2 linked regions of the Diceros bicornis minor genome follow. The protein of the gene in region 1 interacts with the protein of each later gene in a biochemical or structural test. Links are inferred from orthologs where the notes say so. Each region holds a gene or a part of one and is shown on either strand. Other genes may lie near its edges. The genes, in order: MAP3K5 and MAP2K6.

The links.
Region 2: of the proteins of MAP3K5 (region 1) and MAP2K6, one has a biochemical effect on the other in vitro, tested with the Homo sapiens proteins (8 studies listed by BioGRID, with this or other methods). The link is inferred for Diceros bicornis minor from reciprocal best matches to the Homo sapiens genes MAP3K5 and MAP2K6.

The regions. Positions count from the first base shown.
Region 1 is NC_080762.1:1,825,259-1,833,491, forward strand, and holds the start of MAP3K5 (mitogen-activated protein kinase kinase kinase 5), read left to right. Parts: upstream 1-5,017; 5' UTR 5,018-5,259; coding exon 5,260-5,671; intron 5,672-8,233. UniProt on the Homo sapiens protein: Serine/threonine kinase which acts as an essential component of the MAP kinase signal transduction pathway. Plays an important role in the cascades of cellular responses evoked by changes in the environment.
Region 2 is NC_080757.1:50,792,894-50,801,038, forward strand, and holds the start of MAP2K6 (dual specificity mitogen-activated protein kinase kinase 6), read left to right. Parts: upstream 1-5,006; 5' UTR 5,007-5,255; coding exon 5,256-5,271; intron 5,272-8,145. UniProt on the Homo sapiens protein: Dual specificity protein kinase which acts as an essential component of the MAP kinase signal transduction pathway.

The sequences.
Region 1 (8,233 bases):
CAGCTTTCTTTCTATGTCTAGTAGGATTTTCTGCAATGATGGAAATGTTCTGTACCTGCATTGTCCAATAAAGTAGCCACTAGCCACATATGGCTATTGAGTACTTGAAATGTGGCTACTGTGACTGAGTATTCAAATTACATCAAATTGATGTAATTTTAATTAATCTAAATTTAAATAGTCATATGTTTTCTTTTCTTACTTTTTACTTAACTTCCACCATTTCCTGGACCCCCTTGTCATTTATACTTAGGCTTAAATATTTGCTAGATTAAGGTGATTCAAAATAAAAATGTATGTGGTAAGTTTGCAGTGAAAAACCCAAGTAAAAATATTTTTTGTCTAAATGTTTTAACAGATTGGATTCCATCCTAACTTTTACAGAAGTCATTCAGTATAACAGTATACTTAATTCAATGAAATCACTTATTTCTGATATTTTAAGTCTGTTATAAGTAATGCATTATTTTAAAATGGTTTATAATAGAATTCAAAGTGAGCTTTTGTGCTAAAAAATTTGGGGATGTCATTCTCCACTTACATGGCTTCTGCAAGAGGAATATTAGGACAGATTTCTATACTCACATGAGGGGGATCATTTTACTCAACTTTAGAATTTATGACAATCTCTTTAAGTGTTGAAGATCCCAGTACTCGTGTAGCTGAACTCCAGGACTCTGTCCATTTTTGAGCATTTATTGAATCACTTAAAGATGGAAAGAATCCCAAGAATAAGATCTCTAGATGATAAAACTGCTTTATCAAATCCTATAGGCATATTGAAGGAATCTTGTTCTTAAACTTATTTAAATTCCATCTCTGGGGTTGGGGAAGGGAGTCTCTATTTGTGTGAAACTCTTCTTGTGAATCTGATCTGCGTCCATGGCTAAGAACCACCCTACAGGAGTTTGCTGAGGTGGGTGGACAGGGAATTTGAAGCTACTAGATATACAAAGGAACCAGGTTCATCTTCCAGGAGCACAGATTTTTCTCAGAGGATTAAGAAATCCAAAACATGATTTTGTATTAAAACAAATTAGCATAAATTATGAAACAAATGGCAAACTTCAAGATAAAACAGAGACATGAAACAAACACCAACAACATTCACCTTGTTGACTTGGGCCTCAGGTTATTCCCCAAGACTTCACTCTCCCTGGCTCCACTGGAAGAGTTTGGAAACATAGCTACCATATACAGCTTCCAGAATAAGAAGTAAGAATGGTCTTTTGACATGATATTTTAATTCCAAATTTGGCAAATAGAGTCTGTCTCAACTTCTCATCACCCTTCTTTTAAACTTTATGCAGCTGTTAGATGAACTGGTGGCATGTCCTCACACCAGAACCAAAACAATATTCTCTGACTCGATGATCTTATCCCTTCATGCTGATAAGGAGCAGCGGATATAGCACAGGCTCTGGATTGGAACCCTGGTCTTGTTACTAACTCCTTGTCTCACGTCGGGTAACCTTTTCCTCTGGGCTCTTCATTTAGAAAGATGGAAGACTTGAGATGTGCACATAAAGCAGTTAGCATGGCAATGGGCACTTACTATTATTTTTTTAACTAGAAATGGCCCTAAGACACATTTGACCATGTTATTACTAGAAAATGAACATAGCATCAGTTACAGTGGTCGTAACTTATTTGTGCAAGAAAATGAGCCACTTGTAGTTTCCCACAGTCTAGAGATTCCACTCATTGCATCTCCAGAGTGTTTTAACCTGTTTTTGGGTCCTCCATATTTCCTGGAATTAGTTGCTGAATCTCAGACTTGGATTCTAGGGCCTTGATGAGATTCCTGCCCCCTGTCTTTGGTGTGACTGCCTCATAATTGTGGTATGTTTTCCCATCAGGAAGCACAGGACACCTGCTTATCTCTTTCTTAATGATGTTAGTGACTGTTGATGATCCATACCTGGATCCAAACTCATTAAAAGTTGCAAAATGGTGAAATTCTAACTACCTCAGACTTTTTATATGTATTAGCTGAAATATTTCTATAAAGAGAAAGTTCCTTCATCTACTATTTGGTTACCCAGTGGTATTTTCATTCTTCACACATTTCAATTCAGTATATACACATTGAATGTATATATCAATACCCATCAATACACATTAGAACTTCAAAGGATTTTCAAATTAATCTAATTGAACACTTTATTTTATGGATGCAGAAACAGGCCCAAAGAGGCTAAATTAGTTTTCTGATTTCTAAAAGCTCACTGGTAGTTATCAGAATCCCAACAGGAAACAGGATCCTTTGAGGTGGGTTTATTTACAAAAAGACTAATTGCAAAGGTGTGGAGGGCGTACAGGGAAGCCTCAAGGGCTTCTGCAGGAACTTGGGGCTAGCGGCTTCAGAGCTGTCATCATTTCTAGGTGCCAAACAACAAGGTGAGGGACAGTTATGAGATCTTGTAAGAAAGTGAGTCCTGCGGGATCTGCCACCTTAGAAGACCAATGACTTTCTGTTGAGGAACAAGCAGCCTGAGGTGACTCAGAGTCACAGTCTCCTTCCTGCTTCAGATCCTCTGCCTGGACTCCCCACTGACCAAACCTAGTTGGTAAACAGAAAGCCAGGGAGCCATTGATTTAATTCATAGAGATTAGGCTCCTGAGGCTGAGACTGGGGTTGGGAATGGAGAGTGGGTCTGGAGGGGAAATTCGGGCACAGATGGCAACGGAGGATTTGGAGTCATATTCTTGTTCCTCTTCCACCATTCTACCATGCATTCAAAGGTTTGCCGACATCCACAGATCTTGTATTTGTAGAAAGAACTGACGGCCCAGGATGATGTTAGCTTCCTCTGGAGTGAATTTTGATTCTCGAATGCCTGGAATTACCTTAATCCAATTTCAGGCTTTGAGACTTTTTCCTGACGTCTGCAGGCAGGGTTGCTGTCCATGTAAGGGTCATTTTACTGCTAGCTCACTCCTACTTCTAGGCTAGCTCATCCTTACTTTTGTCCTTTCCAGGTGTTGTCAGAAATGCAGTCCAGCCTCTCAGATGTCTAATGAGAGCCACAAAAATTGCCAGGCCAGGAGCAGCCCCAACCAAGGCACACCGTCTGGATCCCTGGCCTCTCTTCCGGAAACTGGCCGGGTAGATCGTCCTTATCTCATTAGTTCTTTGATGCCTTTATTTTAAATTTTGTCCAGCATTCTTAGTCTTCTTCAGTGAGAGGGTTGATGAGAATTACCTAATCTGTCATAATCAGAAGCAGAAGTCTCTCCCTTTTATTTCTCCAGCTCTTTTGTTACGAAAATTCTTTGTCCTACCTGCAGGTGTTCTCAAGGTGTCCCAAGGTCCATCTCTAAGTGGACGTGGGAGGGACTCTGAGTGAGAATATAGTCCTGACCAGTAGACTTCAGTTCTGCTGCCATGCCTTTTTAATGTGGGAGCGCCTTAGGAGCAAGAGAAGCAGTCTTTCAGCATTGCATTGGGGTTTGGGTGCCAGTAATCGATAAAATCTTTAAAGTTATTAAATCAATTCAAAGTAAAACAAAGCAAATAAAGTAAAATGAACATAAAGATTGTGTATGGAAAGTGGCTCTGAAAAGACCTGGAAGGGAAGCAAAGGTGAAATGGTCTACAGAGTTACGGTTTTTTAGAAAATAGCTTTATGTATAATCTTAGATCTTATTTGTGTAGTAAAATGCTATTTGAGAATTTAGGCATTTAAGTCTTCTAGACATAGTCCTAATGAATTTCCAGTGTTTATTGTTTTGGGTTAGTATGGGGTGGAGGGTTATCTACTCCCACAGGAGTTGGAGATCTGACAAGTTGTCGGGAATATTAGAAGGTGTGTATCTATAGTAGCCCATCAACATTGTTCAGTGTGATCACTGATCCACTACACATCTACTTTCCTAATGACACCCAGTCCAAAGGCAGCTGTGGATCACGGAGATTCCAGCTGACACGTAGAGGAGCAAGTTACTTACTGTAAATTTACCTCTATCCTTTTACAAGCCTTGAGAAAAAGCTGTCACTTTGCTTTGTGGAGGATACAGTTGTGCAGCTGCGAGGGGTTTTCCACATTACCATTTCCTTCCTTCTTTTAACTCTTCACTACTCAACTGTTTTATCCTCCGTTTCCCCCAAGCTTGAATGTAATTTGCATTCTTCTTCTACCGTTTTCACAGAACTCATTAATCTTGCTTCCTGAGGATGGGAAGTCCAGACCTGGTACTTTATTATATTGCATCTTTCACTGGTTTTCCGAAAGTTATAGCATTCTGGGGAAGTTCTCTGAGAACTTACACATCTGTTTTTGCCCCGCATATAAGTAGATACTTTTTGATCTCTCTTAAGCCATCCAGGCATTTTATTTTTCTTGTGGTGCAATTTAAAAGATAGAATAATTCACTTAATCTCCCTCCTTCCTCTGGCAGATAATGATTTGCCAAGTCCCAGTCTTCCATCTCGGGAAAGCATGTGGCGGTGGAGGGGAGTTTTTAGAACCTAAAGGAGCATGCTAACTCGGTCGGCAGCTGGAGCTAACCGATTCCTCCTTGGTGACAGCACCGCTGTTGGAGACTTCAAAATGGAAAGTACCAGGGGCAGACCTGATCCGCTTCGCCTGCCCTGCCGGGCGCCCCTGTCCCCCCTCAGCCACCCTCCCGCTCCGGCCCCGGCCCGGGCCCGGCGGGCATCCCCCCGGCGCGTCCTCCCGCGCCCCGCGGAGCCGAGCGCACCACCGCGCGTCGCGGGCAGACTTTGGCGCGCTCCGTCGTGCGTGCGCCCGGGCGTTCGCGCTCCACCGCTGAGGTGGCAGCGGCGCGCGTCGGGCCGGCCCGCGCTCCCCGCAGCGCCCCCCACGGGCGGGCCGGCGCGCGGAGCCCGACGAGGGGGCGGTCGGAAGCGGGGCCGGCGCGAGCGGCCGCGGGAGCCGAGCGGGCGAGGCGGCCGGGCGGCGGGAGAGCGCGGCCGGAGGAGGAGGAGGAGGAGGAGGAGGAAGTGGCGCGGGGCGGCGGGGCGGGCCGTCGGGCGGCAGGTAGCTCCCCCGAGGGCGCACGGGCAGGGCCGCCCGCGCTCCCACCGCACCCTCACCCGCGGCGGCGGCGGCCACGGAGGCGCCGAGGAGGGGCGAGCGGCCGCCGGGCGGCGGCGTCCCCGCGGCGGAGAGGGCGCCCGAGAGGCGGCGGCGGCGCGGCGCGGAGGGCGGGACGCGCGATGGCAGCCGCGTAGCCCGGCGCGCGCGGAGCAGCCCCGAGCTGTGGCCGGCCCGGCGGCGCGGCGGCGCGGGGGCCATGAGCGGCGAGGCGGCCGAGGGCCTCACCTTCTCCGTGCCGCCCCTCGCGCCCCCGGGCCTCTGCGCGCTGGCCGAGGGCGGCCGGCGGGGGGCGGCGGCCGAGGGCCAGGACAGCCCGCTCGCGCCGCCGCCGCCGCCGGGCAGCTTCTGGAACGTGGAGGGCGCCGCGCCGGGCCCCGCGTGCGCGAGCGGCGCCCCCCGGAGCCGGGGCAGCGCGGGCGGCGGCCGGCGGACCACGGTGGCCTATGTGATCAACGAGGCGAGCCTGGGGCCGCTGGCGGCGGCGGAGAGCGAGGCCCTGCAGAGCCTGCGGGAGGCGTGCGAGGCGGCGGGCGCCGCCCTGGAGACCCTGCACTTCGGGAAGCTGGACTTCGGGGAGACGGCGGTGCTGGACCGCTTCTACAACGCAGGTGCGTGTGCGCCCCGGGTCGGGGCCGAGCCCCCGGCCGCCGCGGGGGAGACGCTTCTCCGGGCAGCCGGCGTGCTTCCTCCTTCTCACTCTTGCCCCGCTCCCGGCGCTGCCCGCTGCTCCCGGCCCCGCTCCTGGGGAGGGGGGTGCCGGTGCACGGGCCCCGGGGGAGAGGGAGGGGGTGCCGGTGCACGGGCCTCGGGTGCCCTGCGGGACCCGCGACCGCCGCGCGGGGCTCCCCCACAGAACTCTTGTCCTCGGCGCGCGCACATGCCCCGGTCTGTCCTCCGTCCAGTGTGGTGCCTTCCCTTCCTTCAGGGTGGCCCGTGTTTCCTTCTGGACGCGCCTGTGACCGCTTTAGGTCACGTTCTCGTTCTCTCGGGGTAGTTTTGGAAGAACAGACACCGTGACTGATGCCGCGGAGCCGGCTGCACGCGGAGTGTGTCTGTGAATCTGCAGGTCCTGTCATGATCTTCCCAGCTCACTTTACCTTGAGCTCAGTGGCTTGAACTTCCCATCTCTTACCAATTCGAAGTTTCAAGTCGTCACTTCCAAAAGTCACTTACACTAAGGCTGTGTGGTAACTCTATTAAGACTTCGGTGAAAGAACCAGGTCTGTTTTTTATTACCCCATATCCCTTGTTGGGCTGAAAAGTGTTTAATTTAACATTGTTGAAAACGCGAATGTGCTATTGGCCATTAAAGTGATTGCTAGCATAATGTATGAAAAAAGTGTATCTTTTCATCCTATGACAGATTTCAGGGTGTTACTGCAATTCTAGTGACTGAAGCAGTTAGCTCTCTGTTAGCAAATGTAAGGAATAATGATGTGTTATTGAAACTAACCCTTAGCACTCTGTGCAACCAATATTGAGAATATGTGCATATTTATTAAGTGTGGGGGGGAAAATTTGATTTAATGGTGGCTTCAAACAATAAGGTTCTTGCACTTGTGATCACGTAAAAGGTTTTATATTCCAGTCCGGTTTCAGTTCTGATTCTCCTCAGTCTCTCCAGAATACCTGAAGTAGGCTTATGTCAGTTTTGGAATTCAGCCAAAGCTGAATATTTTAAGAACAAGAACTTCTTCATGCTAAGGAAGCCAGACTAAATAAACTAGGACTTTCTGGTTCTGCTGTTTTTTTACAGACTTGGTCTTCATAACTGAACAGGAGTAGAATATATTATGGCTTGGTTCTTTGCGTAGCTTGCTATAAAAATTGCATAAGCATAACTTTTCTAAAAATTACAGCACTCTTTATTTTTGGATTATAACTTGGAAGAAGCTTCAAAGAACTGAAAGATACGTGAGGAAAACACCCAGCTGAGTACTGGGCCTATTTTTATTGCACTGATAGATTGGGTATTTTTTATAGGGTTCTATAGAAAAATCTTAAACGCTGAGCTACTTTGAAAGAAAGTTTCCTAACAAGGCTCACTTAGGGTTTATTCTCCAAGTACTATCTCTGGGAAAGGGAGAGAAAAAGATTAGAAGGGACCAGACATTTGAACTGTATCTCATTTAATTCTCCAAATGAGCCTGTAATGGAAATACTTACTCTCCTTCTAAGGTGAGAAAACCAAGGGATCCACAACCGGCCCTGGGACTCAGAGGTCATAACTAGTCAATACAGGATTCCGCTTCAGGAGCTGACCCTAAAAGGTCATGCTCTGCCCTTGCTGCCTCCCTTCAGCTGGGCTGATTTACTCTCAGAATCAAGGGAAAGTCTCTATCTTGGATCATGTGACGCAGAGCTGGCAGGGACCTTGTGAGCCATGTAGGTGCAGTGTGGAATCGAGGGGAGGACACGCTCCGGGAAGGCCTGTGTTTCTGGGCCAGCTCTGTCCCATCCCATTGCTTTGCTCAGCCGCTCAGGCTCCAGTTGAACCCTGCCTGCGTGAGTGACATGAGCTTGGAGCCCTCTCCTTCTGCGTGAAGATGTGATGAATGAAGATGATATGTTTTGTCCGAACCCCTTATTTTTCTAAACTGACGTCCTCCCAGCTTGAAGGTAGTAGAACTTGTCTTCCTAAAACAGTGCTTGCTCCTACTCCACCGGGGTTGTGCAAATTTTCCTGTGAAGGGCCAGATGGTAAATATTTTAGACTCTTCGTGAGGTCTCTCCACAACTACTCAGTTCGGCCATTGTTACTGGGGAGCAGCCATTAACTGTACCTAAACAGATGATTGTGGCTGTATTCCAATAAAACTTTATTTTTTTTAATTTTTATTTATTTATTTATTTTTGTGAGGAAGATTGGCTCTGAGGTAACATCTGTTGCCAATCTTCCTCTTTTTGCTTGAGGAAGATTGTCGCTGAGCTAACATCTGTGCCAGTCTTCCTCTATTTGGTATGTGGGATGCCACCACAGCATGACTTGATGAGCGGTGAGTAGATCCGCGCCCAAGATCCGAACCAGCGAACCCTGGGCCGCCGAAGTGGAGTGCAGAACTTAACTACTACACCACTGGGCTGGCCCCAGAACTTTATTAATGGACACTGAAGTTTGAATTTCATATAATTCACAAGATATTATTATTTTTATTTTTTTCCCAATCATT
Region 2 (8,145 bases), on another chromosome or scaffold:
TATAAAACAGGCTTTGTGTCAGATGATTTTGCCCTACTGTAGGCTAATGTAAGTGCTCTGATCATGTTTAAGATTGGCTGGGCTAAGCTATGATGTTCAGTAGGTTAGGTGTATTACGTGCATTTTCGACTTACCAATATTTTCAACTTATGAAGTGTTTATCAGGACATAACCCCATCGTAAATTGAGGAAGATCTGCAATCCTGTTTTTACCAGATTGCTTAAACAAAGGAAACTTGAGAGAGAAGGCTGAACAGGTATAGTTGTGCCATATTGGGGAGGGCACTAGAAGCTAAGCTGAATCTATTTTGGGATTTCTAAAATTTCTGCCAACAGTCATAATTCATTGTGATATTTTAATGCAGTAAAAAAAAAAAATTTGTACTTAAAAGTATTGTACCACCATAACTCATCATCCGGTCCCCTAAACTAATTCCCCACATGCTCTCCGCAATATGCTTCATTATATATAACATACCTATTTACACTAGAATCTAGAAAAGTAGATATTCAGACTTAACTCTTAGCTTTAACTTTGGTGCCTTCCTTTCCCTTGTTCCTGATATCTTGTAGATACTGCTGGAAAACATTCATAAATGTCACATGCAGGTGAGTATTGCTACCCAGGAGGCAATATTTTACACTGTAATATGAATATGTCTTGTCTTATCTCTTAAGTGATATTGTTATGATGGTCATCAGTTATCTTGCTAATGCAGGGGATGAGGAACACTTCTGATACCTGAACAGAAAGTTACTTAGCCAATGCAAAAAATAGAATGTGTGATCACAACTGTCTTTCTTTCTTCAAATCACTGGTGGTTTTAATCAGACATTTGAGGTGGGTTTAGAGTCACAGGATGTTAGAACTGGAAGGGGCCTGGGGCTGGCCCCGTGGCTTAGCAGTTAAGTGCGCGCGCTCCGCTGCTGGCGGCCCGGGTTCGGATCCCGGGCGCACACCAATGCACCGCTTGTCCCACCATGCTGAGGCCGCGTCCCACATACAGCAACTAGAAGGATGTGCAACTATGACATACAACTATCTACTGGGGCTTTGGGGGAAAAAATAGGAGGAAGATTGGCAATAGATGTTAGCTCAGAGTCGGTCTTCCTCAGCAAAAAGAGGAGGATTAGCATGGATGTTAGCTCAGGGCTGATCTTCCTCACAAAAAAAAAAAAAAAAAAAAAGAACTGGAAGGGCCTTAGTCTGACCCATCTTATTTTAGTGGAACAAAAAGAGGTCCAGAAAGGCGAAGTGACTTGCCTTAGGAAACACAGCTAACGTTTTCTAGTCAGGACTAGAGCTCACATCCCCTAGATTCTAGTGTTTTTTCCACATCAAAAGTTAATGTCTTACCAAATCTCATTTGCTTTAAATTAACTTAAAAAATAGAGTGTCAGTAAATTCTCATGGTATCCTATGCAGCAAGGTTTCTCAAACTCAGCACTACTCACATTTGGACCAGATAATTCTTTGTTGTGGGAGGCTTCCTGTGCACTGTAGTAAGATTACAAGCATCCCTGACCTCTACCCACTAGATGCCAGTATCACCACCTCCACCCTCCTGGTTGTGACAACCAAAAATGTCTCTAGACATTGCCAAAGGTTCCCTGGGGGTCAAAATTACCCCTGGTTGAGACACCCTACTCCCACCACCATCTCCTCCATCCCACATATACTTCTAGAATAATTCCTTCAGAGCCAGCCTGACCTAACCTAGGGGCTCTTTCCAAGAATCTCATACCTTTAACCTGACAGCACAGGACTTTCCCCAGGTGTTCTAGTTTCCCCTGCAGGTGTTAACTCCATCATTGGAATCTAGTTATTCCAGGGTAGCCACGGTCACAAGTCCTCTCCCTATCTACTCCTTCAGTTTTTCAGCATTCATTTGAGTGCCTGTTAAACGCTAGATGGTCGGCACTGGGAATGCAGAGATGAATCTCTGATCTCCAGTAGTTCAGTCTCCTGGGGGAGACAAATATGTAAATAAACATCTGTCAGCCTTATGATGAGTGTTAGGAGGGAAGTATGTGTAGGGTGCTACAGAATTAGGGAAAACACTTCATTCACACTGAGGGTGGTCATAGGGTGATATGTCACAGAAAGTAGCTGGAAGAAAGTGCCAGCTAAGCCAAGTCTTCAAGGACAATTCTGAATGAGCTAGGCAGAGAATGGAAAATGCTTGCCAGCCAGAGAGAGCAATGTATCCAAAAGCAACTAGGGAGAAAACTCGGCTTCTGGCTGTAGCATCAACATAGGATGAGAAATGAAACTGGAGAGTAAGCAGGGGCCGGGTCTTGAGGGGCCAATTATACCATGCCAAGGAGTTTGGAATCGATCTTGAAGGTAAGTAGAAGAAACTTGCATTTTAGAAAGATCTAAAGTACAGAAAATTACAAAGATGGCAGATTCGAAGTAGGAGCACAGGCCACCTCAAGATAAACATCTGATGTACCGTCTAATAAAAGAACAATCATCCAGATTTTGCTCTCACTTCCTTACACCACCAGGGGAGGAATTCTCCTCCTAAGAACATTGCCACAGATTGGCAAGAAGAGGAAAGGACCATGATTGTACAGAGGTACAGCCTCTTCCTCCATCCAGGACCGTGGGCAGAGGAAACCTTTTTACCACCAAGGCAAGAAGGACTTTTTTTTCTGGACTCTAAGACTTCACAGAGAGGTTGAGTTTCCTGTGGAAATTCAAAATATATTTTTCCCAGAAAGAAAAATGATAAATTTTGATATTTTTAACTATACGGTTCAGCCAATTTATGGGTCAAAGGTGTTTTGCATACGTGTGTGTGAGTGTGTATGTGCACTGGCTGTTGAACACATCATTGTTCCTATGGGAATATGAATTACAGATTGACTTTCAGAACATAATCCATTTGCCAGCTGGGAACTGTGCATGCCTATGCAGAGAATGTACAAGCACAAACGACAGAAGCAAAATGCACCAGACAAGTGATTAGAACTCTTCCATAAAGAAGGGAGTCTGGGGCAATTTAAGAGCAATGCTGCTGACCACATAAAATGCAAATCGAAGTAAGCTCTAGGTGGCTGTGCAGGCCCTGCCTGGGCTCAGCGAGTCTATGTGCAGCTCCAGAAGCTATCCCAGGGCCTGGCCTGTATCAGGTGCTCCACCAAGGTCTGGAAAAGTAGATGAGATGCACTGAAATGGAGCTCCACGCCCTCATGCCTCCTGGTTAAATGAGACTTAGAAAAACAATGCTGGTTCAATGAGGTACTGAGATCCTGTGTGTGAGAGAACGAGGAAGGGACAGCACGGATTCTCCTAGAAGGACAGTGAAAGAAAGTGAGCTACTAAGTCTCTGTACCTATGCTCATGGGACGGAAACCCCTGCCTCTTAGGGGCAGAAACTAATATGAACATGAGGTGACCTTGACAAATTCTCAATAATGTCAGCAGACGGGATCAACTTAAGTAAATTAATGTTAGTTCCATGACCTGCTGCATATTTGTTTTAAGAGCTGATTTGTAGCTGAAACATGGTGGCCTTCTTCCCTCTGATTCATCCATTACTCAGAAGGCCCTGGCTTCCTAGAATTCTTAATAAAATTCCAAGAGTTTTCATAAGCAGTCATCAAATCTAGCCAAATCTTTCAAAATGCCTTTTTCTGCTTTTCACAACTGACCTGACCTATCTCTAGCCTCTCCCAGTTTCAACCCCCTTAATGGCTGAGGGCAAATTTACCTTCTTAAAACAATGCTTTGATTAAGTTACACCCCTTTTTAAAACCCTTTCACCACCTCTCAAGGATCTGTGGAATAAAGTCCAAACCTCTAGCCTGCCTTTTAAAGCCCTGTAGAGTCCTCACCTCTAAATTCCACCCACCCTCACCACTTCTGTATACAAGGCAACGTGGTATCCTTAAGTGTCCCCTGACTAGGCTCTCCTCAGTCTTCCACTGTGCTTGGTTCACGCCTCAGCAGCCTGAAATCCTCAGTTCTTCCCTCTCTACCTGAAAAGCACATTTTGAGTCTGGTCTACTCAGTGAAGTAGAAATCTGAGCTCATTTCAGCCCATGCCCCCTCACTCCTTTCCATTTCTTGCATGGAATTATTCTGTGCATCTCCAGCTTCCTCGTGAAGGGGGTGACCAGGGTGCTGTCCATCCCTAAGCCATGAGCAATGCATGACAAATGGATGACCCAAAGCCCTAGAGACATTCCTGGCACATCCTAGGAGCTCAACAGATGTCTGTTAACTTTGTTGAATAATTCCAGATATTTGACTTTGTTAATTTAAGATTACCACTCACTTGCTCCCTTAGGCCAGGGATTTTCCTCACCTTAGGTGAGAAAAAGCATCTAAATATTTTAACTTTGATAAAGTTAGCTTTGACATATAAAAAGCAGAACTTCCTCTCTAACATTTCAAGAAATAAGAACTCCTCCTCCCCCCAGTATTGAATTTCAGGTTCCTTGAAAATAATCGACCTGGATCCTATCTTACTAAATCAAACTTTGCATCTTCTCTGCAGTGCAAAGGTAATCTTACCTCTGGCCAGCCAAATCACCAACAAATTCTCCATGCCAAAAAAATGTTTTTGAAAATGGAGGTGTGAGGGTAAACGTCTATAGGCAGGAACAGTACAACAGGTGCTGCCCTGCAAACAGGAAACACCCAAACAGACCTTCTGAGCGAGCCAAATGCCTTTTCGCTAACCTAATGTTCTTTAGCTTTAGTTGCTTCAAGGGCTTTTCGATAACAAAAATGCCCCTTCCTGTTGGCCTTGCCGTTTTTCGCCCATCACTTACTACCGAGTGCGAGTCTGACTTCTTTATCTGGGCGCAATCTTTGCCACACCCAGTCATCTCGCTCAGCGACCCGCGCGACCACGTTTCCTTAAATCTGAGCCCCGTGGACTCTGCTCCGGAACTACATTACCCAGCACCCCCCGCGCCCTTCGCAGGAAGGACGTCTGCGCACTAAGATACTCAGTTCCAAGTTTGGAGCTTTTAGCTGCCAGCCCTGGCCCATCATGTAGCTGCAGCACAGCCTTCCCTAACGTTGCAACTGGGGGAAAAATCACTTTCCAGTCTGTTTTGCAAGGTGTGCATTTCCATCTTGATTCCCTGAAAGTCCATCTGCTGCATCGGTCAAGCGAAACTCCACTTGCATGAAGATTGCACGCCTGCAGCTTGCATCTTTGTTGCAAAACTAGCTACAGAAGAGAAGCAAGGCAAAGTCTTTTGTGCTCCCCTCCCCCATCAAAGGAAAGGGGAAAATGTCTCAGTCGAAAGGTAAGAGTCTATTTGCATTACTTGCAAAAATGCAAAGGGTTGTGCATGCATTTATGAATGCATGGATGCAATTTTCGCCTGGCGATTGCATTTTTAAGTTTGAGGTTTTCCACAGCTCAGTTGCATTTCCTGTTTAGTATGTGTCTTTTTTTGCAGACACAGAGAGTTCCTGTAAGGCAGGGCTTGCAGTTCAGCTGTGCATTGACGTTATTTGCATTCTTCTGCTAGGATTACTGAGCTCTTTTTGCCTTTTGCACAGTCAGGAGAGATAGAGCAGGTTGGTAGCGTCTAAAAGTGCAATGCTTTATATAATTGTAAAATTCTTTAGTATGCACACATATTACAAGTAATTTTATGTGCAACAGGAATACAAACTTTTAAAAAGTCTGTAGGTGAAGATGAAAGGTAAAACTTGAGTTAAACTAGTAGGAAATGAATGTAATCTTATATTCCTTTGGGAATGAACCGTTGTGGTACCAGTAGTTAGCTAAATTTCCATTGATATCGCTTTGAACATTAAGCAACTTTTGATTTTTAAAGGAAGTAAAGGTGAAGTGTGAATAATACCACATTACAAAAACGTAGACAAGAAGACTTTCTCTTCCGAGATTTTGCACTTTACACCAATTGCTTATTGGTTCGCAGTATTCAGAAGCAGCAATGAGGACGTAGATGTTTTATGTCTTCCCATTTGGGAGATGCTTTGCATCTTAGGGGAAAAAAATGTTGGGGGAAAAACTGTACTTTTAAGCATTACACCAACGTGGGGAGACTGTACTGTTTCACTGACAATGACAACCATAATGAAATCTTTTAAGTGTGTAATTGCATATATTTAGTCAGCTATAATAGGTCAGAAGTTCAGGGTTATGGTTGTTTCCTTTATGTTTTTTTCTTTTTCTTAAAAAAAATTTTTTTTACACAGTTGTATTTTGCAGACAATGTCATGCTGGGGGGAATTAAAAAAATAAAATTTATGACATGGCATCAAGAGAACTGAGGGGGTGTTGTCAGGTGTCTCTAGGACCCTAAGTCTCTTGTTTCAAAACGAGTCTTTCTTTACCATAGAGAAAGCATGTGCCATCTGAGAATGTATGGAATGAAGAGGTGAGTTAGGCACTAGGTGAGTTAGGCTACCTGAGGCACAACATAGGTGAGTAAGACCTGGTGAAATGAAAGTGTCTCATAAGCTTTCTGCCACTTTTTTTGGAGTTGTTGCAATTCTGCCTGATGGGAATCATGCATCTCAGCCCAAGAGGAAGTGATATATATTCTTAAGAGTTCAAAGTAGGGCTCTGCTTTTCTTTTAGTCTTAGTGAGGAATGGACATCTGAAAAGCTAAGAAAGCTGAAGAACCTATGAATTGGCATTATGAGGTGCAGGTGTTCCTTAATAGAGGGGAAACCTACAATCTTCTAATTGAGCAGAGAAATAACAGTTTAGAAGGGGCATACCATGCTTTGATGTATTAAAGAGATGACATCTAGTTACTTTGTATTTGGTATATATTCACTCATTCATTCAGTTTGGTTTAATATATGTATAAATATATTATGATATATATGTGTATGTGTGTATGTATGTGTACGTATACATGTAGAGAGATATAGTGCACAGGATTTGGGGGCGTACAAAAATATTTAAAATGTAGTTGCTTCCTTTAAGTAACTTACCATGTGATTGGTGAAAGAAAGCATATCTGCAAATCATTATAATACAAGATAATTGCCTAGATAGTGAAGAGAAATGGCACTGTTGGAGTTTAGAGATGGAAGTGATCTCTCTGAGAGATAGTCAGGAAGGTTTCATGAAGAAGGTGATGTTATAGTGATCTTATCTTTGGACCGTAGTGTCTAAACTAAATCAGGTTCCTTTTTGCATTTTTTGAGCTCACTCCTAAAGTAGCCCCCTCCTAGTAGAGCAAGTTTTTGAGTTGGGAAGCTAAAAGAGATGTTAGCATGACACTCTTCCATTATGGGTGTGCCCATAATAGATCAGGTACTGATGGTTCTTGAAATCAATTCCCATTCATCCAAAAAGTTTTCTTAATTGGGTTGTGTTTGGAAGGTGCAACTAGTGTGAACATGGGGTTTCTGTCCAAAAGAAAAATTATTGGTAGAAAGAAGTGGGTGATCATTTCAGAAATGGCAAAGGAGACTTGGCCTGGACTTTAAATGTGGAATTGGCCTAATTCAGCTATGGTATTCTCAAATGGCCAAGACATTTTTTGCAGTACCAGACTTCTTTGTAATACTATAACCAAATGAAATGGGGGGAAAAGTGAAAGGTGGATGCAACCTCATAGTGTTGAAGATTTTAACAACATGTTCAATTCAAGGACCTTTACGAACTTTCTAGATCACTATAATTCGGTTTTAGAGACCTCTAATTTAAGGCACAGCAGAGGCAAAAGAATTACAGACTCCCTGGGAGCTGGAAGGACTGGGTTACTTCTTTCCAGCCTTACCGACAGTGAGATTCCGAGAAAGAATTTCTTAAAAAGAAATTTTGTTTTCCACAGTTGTAACTTTAGGTGGTATGCCTTTCAGTTTGTTTATATTAGCTGTCTGGGGTTGAGCTGACATTTTTCAAATATTAAAGTGGCAGAATGCCTTTTGAGGAAATCTGAAATGTAAGTTAACAGGAAGGGCACCCAGAAAGTGCAGGAATTCCTGCACTTTACAGGAAGACAGGCTACAGGAAAAATGTGTCATCTACATTGCCCCGGAGAGAAAAACTATTGTTATCAGCCATAATGATCTGAGGGAGGGAGGGAAGGAGGGAGGCAGGAAGGGAGGCCTGGCATCTCCCAGTTCACCTGAAAATCTACAAAAAGTTTGACCCTGTTAAATGCACTCTTTCTCACTTCTCCCT